Linked DNA regions of Danio rerio. The protein of the gene in region 2 purifies or fractionates together with the protein of the main gene of each other region. This does not show direct contact. Links are inferred from orthologs where the notes say so. Each region holds a gene or a part of one and is shown on either strand. Other genes may lie near its edges.

Region 1 (4,146 bases), on a different chromosome or scaffold from region 2:
TTCTGAATCATCCACCCTATGCCCTTGTCCATTTGAACACAAATACTCTGAATCATTTAAAAACATTAAAGGTTGTCTTGTTCACATTTTATATTAAAGTTATTCTTATTACAGTTCAGTTTATAAACTTCAAATTGACAACTGTGCTATCTCCATAGTGCACTCCCATAACATTTATGCCATTTTAAACGCAGCAGTGACTCGTGAAGAAAGCTACATTTACAATCAAAAACCTGTTTACACACTTCCAGCAACTGTTAAAACAAACATTTAAGGTAATGATTTTAACTTGTATAGAAAATTGATCTCTAATATACTGTAAAAATGCTATGGTCCACACATTTCTTTTACATGGCCCATCATAAATTGATTAAACTTAATTTTTTTTCATAAATTTAAGTGGGCTTAACTTAAAACAATTAAGTTGTCCTCAAGAACACAAGTTTCAGCTAATTATATATAAGTACTTTGAACAAGCCGCAAAAGTCTTTTTTTTTAGTGTATATGATATATGCAACATTTCTGCAGTGGTTTGAGTGTTTATAAAACTGTAATAGTAATTTATTTAAATACAAAAATATACTTTTGTAAAATGTAATTTCTGAAACATGTAACTTTATAAGCAACAGATAAATATAAATATATTTTTTACATCTTTGACCATATACATATATATATATATATATATATATATATATATATATATATTTCAGAATTAGATTGCATGTCATTATATAATGGGTTTATGTTTTATTTATAATAGCAGAGAGTATGATATGGAATATTGTCAATAATATTTGTAAAAGAAAGTAAATACTTGTGTCGTTGCGTTTCATTTAAGAAAGCAGAGATAAAGAAAAGCCGAGGCAAGCAAACTAAATGTTTATTACCAAAACTCATAATGGGTAAAAATATATATATATATCCTGTGTGTAACAATATTTTCTGTACCAAAACTAAAAGCATCTATTAATGTGAATTTCCTCTTAATAAATTGTTACTCCACCCCCTTTAGATGATCATTACAGACGTTTTATGTTTTAACTAACATGGTTCAAATAATTGATCTGAAAGAGAGAATAAACTGTCCAGGGGTCTCATTTATAAACATGGTATACACAAAATTGGGGGTGGAAACACGTGTACGCCACTTCTTATACAGGTTATTATGATCTATAAAAAACAAACTTGACGGGAGAATGTGCGCAGCTTTAAGTAAACACATTTCGCTTAAATATTGACTTAATTCAAGCACTTTAAATCATCATAAAAGCCATAATAATTAATAAATAAATAAAAATGTATTCTGGTGTACATTCACTTTTAGGAAAGTTTCTATGCAATGTTTTATAAATGAGACCTCAGGAACCTTAACTGAAACATACACAACTATTTAAACATTGTTTTTTGTTTCGGCAATGACGCATTAATTTGATCACAGTTAAGATTTTTACAGTGTTAGTGTATTTCTATTTGTAACAATACTCACAATAATACAGATTTTATGCATTTTTGATTGAATAAAAGTAGCATTAGTGCGTTTTTTAAAAATCCTACCCACCCCCCAAAACCTCTGAATGGTAGTGTAGATTTATCGTTATCCCTCATAAATGGAAAAACTGACTCACCTGTCTCTGACTGTAGGATTCCTTCAGCTTCTTTAAATGTGTCGTCATCTTCACTTTAAAGTGAATTTCACTGTTGTCCTGCGAAATGAAAGGAAATCATCAAATCTGTTCAGATCTTTTCATATATCTCATTATAAAAGAACAGCTGGATTGGTTTTAAACAGTAATGGGTTTAAATATGAAAACCTGCATTTCCTAGAAAACAAGTGCTTTTGCTCACCTGACCGATCACTTTGAGTTTAATGTACTCTCCATCCTTCTTCTCGCCTCCATCACTTGAGGGCTTGGTCTCCTATTAAAACAAAACAAGCATTCGATTACTGCATGTCATATTGTTTTTTTATCAGATTTAATGTAATGAATTAAAAAAATATCTTGGGACTGAATTCAATAAAATATTGACTGAAGATCGTATAAAATAAGGTAGATCCGATTTTAATAAATTATAATTATATATATATATATATATATATATATATATATATATATATATATATATATATATATATATTATATATAAAATAATATTGTGAGTGTTGTTATCATTTAAACACTAGGCTGTGTGTGTGTGTGTGTGTGCTTTGAATGTAAACACACAACCTAACGTTACTCTTCTATCGCGAGCTGTTAATACGAGCACAAACCGAACACAAACTAACGTGAACAAATAACGAATAATCCTAATGAACATATCAAAAAATCAACAATTAATAACTAATTCAAATGTTCAGCATGGTCTATCAGCTCAAGATATTATGAACTCTGCTTTCAGGGCCCAGAGCAGCTAACTAGCACACATGCTAATTGGACGATTTGAGGAAGAAATTCACATATTTTTGGCATTTGTGAACACAGTAAATTGGACTAATGTGTAAATTGCGAGAACCAGAAACTATGCACAGTTAAAAACACTCAAGCATTTTTATCAAAAATACTTTCCAAACCACAGTCAGCTAGACAGGCTAAAAGCTGGGCCCTCTTATTTTCATTTTCTATAAGTCCGTCTTTCTCGTCTGCTCTCATGAAAGTTCGATTCAGCATCACAGGTTTAGACTCACCGTGTCTGACATGATATTCCGCAATGTGCAGCCCTTCTGTAGATCAAGATTGTTTGATTTAAACGATACAGTGTTATGTACAGTAATGAGAGGTTTTGATAGTGCTACCAGCAGACCCACAACACAGCGCCGTTGACGTCATTGGAAAGGGGCTGGACTTTCTATGACACTGGGTCGATGACCCAACGAGCGTTGTTTTTCTCACCACGCTCTTTCTGATTGGCTCCAATCGCCATCTGCGATGTTGCTATTGGTAAAACATAGGGAGGCCCGTATTTTGCAAAAAAAAAAAAAAAAAAAACACATCAGTATTTTGGTCACGAAATATTAGAGTGCAAAAATAATGTGACAACTACACTACACCTCTGGAGGACGAAACCTGCAAAAGCAACAAATAAATAAATACGCAAATAAATAAATTAATTAACACATGTACAAATTCCTTCATAAATAAAACAGTAAATAAATACGCAAATAAATAAATAAATAAATGACTAAATATATACACAAGTTCCTACATAAATAAAATAATTAATAAATAACTACACGAATAAATGAATAAATACTCAAATCCCTGTGTAAATAAAACAATAAATAAATAAATACACAAAAAATAAATAAATACAAATTCTTGCATAAATAAAACAATAAATAAATAAATACACAAATAAATTAATAAATAAATAGACAAATTCCTGCATAAATAAAACAATAAATAAACATGCTAAATAAATAAACAAATGTACAAAATAAATACACAAATTAAAAAGATAAAAAATAAAAAGCAATGAATAAATAAAGTAAATAAATAAAGCAATAAATAAATAAAACAATAAATTAATATGCAAATAAAAAATCAATTAGTTAATAAATTCGCAAATTCCTGCATAAATAAAACAATAAATCGTTTATTTTATGTATTTATAACTTTTAATGCCATAGATTTTAAAAAAGACATTAAGACTAATTCAGTGGATCAAAGGTAATATAAAAAATCTGTATAATGTTACTGAACATTTTATTTCAAATACAGTTTCTTCTGAGAATTTTAGAAAGCTGAATGTATTGTGTATTTAACAGAAATATCAAGCAGAATTATTATTAATCATAGAGCACCAAGTAAAATTGACCATAACAAATTCTGAACTCTCATTGGAATATTAAACATATTTACATACAACAATACAGATATTTAAAATTGAAATAATATTTCATATTATAATTGTTTATTCATCTTTTTGTCTAAAACATTTAAATATCTTTTTTTTTTACAAAACTTTTGTTTAGTATATTATTATTATCATCATCATCATCATCATCATCATCATCATCATCATCATCATCATCATCATCATCATCCTCATTATTTGGAATATGACATTATCCAAAATATTGTCTCTACACACTTTGAATATAAAACTCGAAAACTGAAAATCAACACGAGGTGATGGTGCATGAAA
Region 2 (4,001 bases):
ATGTAATTACAATAGTTAATTACAGATGTAAATACATACATGTATTTAATCAAGCATAAGTACACAGTAAATACATGTATTTACACAATAAGTACGTTGTAAATAACTATTAATTCCTGTGTAAGTACATATTAGTTAAGGCCACTTAATATAAAGTGGGACCGTTATAAATTTAAAGCAATGTGTTTCACATGTGTTGGTGCGATACTTTGCAGTGTGCAATTTAAAATAACTGCCTCTAGGAGTCGCCAATGGAAATAAAACAAACGTAGACAAGAAGTACATGTACGCTAGACATGAAGTTGGCGCAGACCAACGAACATTCTCACATTAGTTTCATCGTTAGTAAATCCAAACGTGAGCGTGAAACCTGGCGTATGCAAAGTTTTTGTGCGTATGCAGCGTTGATACATGAGGCCCCTGTTCTGCCTCAAAGAGACTTTACTTTAAATCACGGTATGAAATTAAGAACACAAAAAAAAAAACAATAGTACCAACTATTATATAAAAACGTGACAGACATGTCTTTTATTTACATTATCCAAACATTCATTTAAATTCATTAAAAAGTAATTTATTTACGTCAACCACTGTACAAAATAAACATCAAAGCGGGCCCCATAAATAAAAAACCCCAATGAGTTCTTATGTAAACTCTTTCATTGGAAGCTTTATGATCCTGAGTTTGAGCTTTTTTTACAACAGGGGTCTCCAAACTCGGCCCTGGAGGGCCAGTGTCCTAGAGAGTTTAGCTCCAACCCTAATCAAATGCACCTAAAGCAGCTTATCAAGCTCTTACTAGACATACTAGAAACTTCCTGGCAAGTGTGTTGAAGCAAGTTGGAGCTAAACTATGCAGGACACCGGCCCTCCAGGGCCGAGTTTGGACATCCCTGTTTTACAACCTCTGATTTTCCTTCGTTCTTTTATCACATTATTTGATTTCAGCCCTTACGCGACTCCCCCATTGGGCCTAGTTGTTTTTTTCCTCCCTCTTCCAGCAGTTGTGGTTTTTACACGTCGTTTTCTACGGGAAGTTGTGCTCTTGCCTTGTTTGGCCGTGCTGAACGTAATGCATTGAGAGTCCAGGAAGTCTAATAGTTTAGCAGCAGCTAACCTGATACCTGCAGCTCTCAAGCTGGCCCGCAGCTCCGCCAGTGGAAGAGGCTGGTACTGCAACACTCGACTGTACAGCTCTGGATCGGACAGGATGAACTGACGGACTGCGAGGAGTTTGTCCTTCTCTCGCACGACAGCCTGAGACGCTGTGATGCCTTCAGTGTCCGAGTCTTCATCTTCAGACAGACACAGCTCTGGGTTCGACCTGGAATGAGCGAAAAAGTGAAAATCAAAAGTATTGATTTTACCAAAATCGATCTTTTGACAACCCTAATATAATTATGGTTACATAAACAGATTAGGGTTGTCAAAAGTTTTGATTTTGGTACCAAACTCACCATATTGGTCACCATATTGGCTTATATTTTAGAGTGATGTCTTTACTGTTTTCGTTATAGTTATCACATAGTTATCACAGCCTTAACAGTGGTCATGAATAGCTATTGAGAGAGTGTTCTTAATTCAAATGAGTAGAGCGTTGGGCCCAGAAACAGTATTTCATGTTACAATGTAACCAGCAGAAATGAGCCGTACCTCTCGGACTCTGCAGTGGAAGATGTGTTCGAGTTTTGAGATGCTGATAAAGTCTCTTCTTCTTCTCTTGGTGGTAGTTTGACAGGTGAGACAGCAGGGGGCGCTGTAGGTTGTTTAAAGGAGAGTGATTTTGAGCTGGAGGCTATCGGAGGCCGCCGCGGTCCAGAGGTCTCGTCCTCAGACTCAGAGCTCTGCAGCTGGTGGGTGTATTGATGGATCTCTTTCAGCTTCAGAACCATCTGCTTCTTAGGCAGAGGACGCACGCCAAACCTGGAAATCAAAGTTCCAGCTTCAGTTTACTAAATATTACACACCTATTACACAGCCTGATTGTTAGATGAATGTTTATTAATACTATGAGTCCTTAAAAAGAGGGGAGGGGAAAGGATATAAATAGTAAATAAATAGTTTCATTTTGTTCTAGAATGTGACTAGTATTGAAAGTTAAAAAGGCAGTGCTTCCCACAGGTTTGAAATATACTTACGGTGGTAACCAGATCGAAACACATATTTTACCCACATCTTTTACAGTTGAAGTCAGAACTATTACTCCCCCTGTTTATTTGTTTCCCCAATTTCTGTTTAACATAGAGGAGATTTCTTCAACACATTTCTAATCATAATAGTTTTAATAATTAATTTCTTATAACTGATTTATTTTATCTTTGCCATGATGAAAGTAAATAATATTTGACTAGATATTGTTCAAGACACTTCTATACAGCTAAAAGTGACATTTAAAGGGTTAACTAGGTTAATTAGGTTAACTAGGCAGGTTAGGGTAATTAGGCAAGTTATTGTATAACGTTGGTTTGTTCTGTAGACTATCGAAAAAATATATAGCTTAAAGGGGCTAATAATTTTGACCTTAAAACTGTTTTAAATAATTGTAAAACTGCTTTTATTGTAGCCGACATAAAACAAATAAGACTTTCTCCAGAAGAAAATAATATTATCAGACATATTGTGAAAATTTCCTTGCTGTGTTAAACATAATTTAGGAAATATTTAAAAAAAGAAATTCAAAGGAGGGCTAATAATTCTGATTTCAACTGTAAATGGTCAACTACATATGAAAACAAAAAGTAATGTGATTTTTAACCATATTTTTTATTTATTATGACAATGTTATACTCTTTTTCTTTTCAATGGGTAAGAGTTATTAAAAAGGCCGTTGAAATAAAAGAAATCCACTATTTGTGTTACTTTTATGCTATTCAGTAGCCATGTGCACCCACTTACAGATACACAGGCTGCTCTCTCTCTCTCTCTAAAGTTACTTTATTGGCATGACATTTTGCATTGCTAAAGCATTTTAGATATGTATAAAGTATATGTAATATATTAAATTCATTAATTTCATTAATTTTCATTAAATTCATCATTAAATTAAAACATACAGCAAATGAGAAATAAATAACAGAAAAAAAATCAATAAAACCGACATTATTGCTAAAAATTATAATAATGACAAGAAAAAAAAAATGTAGATTATTTAAAGACAAATTAGTTGATCAACCATTTCTAATGGTGTATAAAATATTTTGCAGCAAGTATAGATGTTATTTTGTTCTCTCCGAGTACAAGGTCAAATAAATCAAGTTGAGTCGTTTACTAAATAATCATTTATTGTTTCTCTCGCGACCGTACTCGTGCAGTCAGCTGCGAAAAGGTTATGCAAAAACGCATAAAAATAACGGCAACTTTAGAAAGTGAAAGCAAAAGTTGCATCCCAGACATTTTAGGAGATTCAGAAACTACAGCCGGACGCATTGGTGCAAAAGGTACATCTCTGTGGGTCTGCAGACCATATCACCGGATAATCTAAGATCATTCACAAACTGCACTTAAGTGACCTGTTTAAATGTCATGGCCAAAGTTATAGAAAAAAATCAACCTTTGTTTTCAACTTCGATATTTTCCCCATACATCCATTCTTGTTAGGTGCATTGTTAGCCCCTTTCACACATACAGACCTTTCCAGAAAGTTACCAGCAATTTTCCAGAAAGGGCTCATGTGTGAACAGGCCCTTTTTGAAAACACCGGTAAATTCGTTCCGGCAATTTTCCGGAAAGTGAAGATGTAACATTACCGGTAATTTGCCGAAATGCTGCTCTGTGTGAACGCAGAAGGGAACTTGCCAGAAAGAGTGCCTTCACATTTAAAACGTGCTGACGTGAGACTTCTACTCCAGCCAATCAGAACACTCAGTCGCATTCACATCCGCACCGTTTATGAAAATAAAAGCCTTTGAATATTATTCCAGACATATTTAGCTGCTCGTTGTTAGTCAGATAACGTTTCTTTGATCCTAGCTAATATCAACTGTCTAAAAAATTGTCGATAA

The links. Proteins that work in one complex are often made in the same cells at the same time.
Region 1: the proteins of slx4 (region 2) and sumo1 purify together in Homo sapiens (affinity purification with mass spectrometry; 3 studies listed by BioGRID, with this or other methods). This does not show direct contact. The link is inferred for Danio rerio from reciprocal best matches to the Homo sapiens genes SLX4 and SUMO1.

The regions. Positions count from the first base shown.
Region 1 is NC_133181.1:10,603,269-10,607,414, reverse strand, and holds the start of sumo1 (small ubiquitin-related modifier 1), read right to left. Parts: upstream 2,801-4,146; 5' UTR 2,699-2,800; coding exon 2,687-2,698; intron 1,921-2,686; coding exon 1,849-1,920; intron 1,707-1,848; coding exon 1,629-1,706; intron 1-1,628. UniProt on the Homo sapiens protein: Ubiquitin-like protein that can be covalently attached to proteins as a monomer or a lysine-linked polymer.
Region 2 is NC_133197.1:27,531,225-27,535,225, reverse strand, and holds the end of slx4 (structure-specific endonuclease subunit SLX4), read right to left. Parts: intron 1,924-4,001; coding exon 1,654-1,923; intron 1,325-1,653; coding exon 952-1,324; 3' UTR 501-951; downstream 1-500. UniProt on the Homo sapiens protein: Regulatory subunit that interacts with and increases the activity of different structure-specific endonucleases.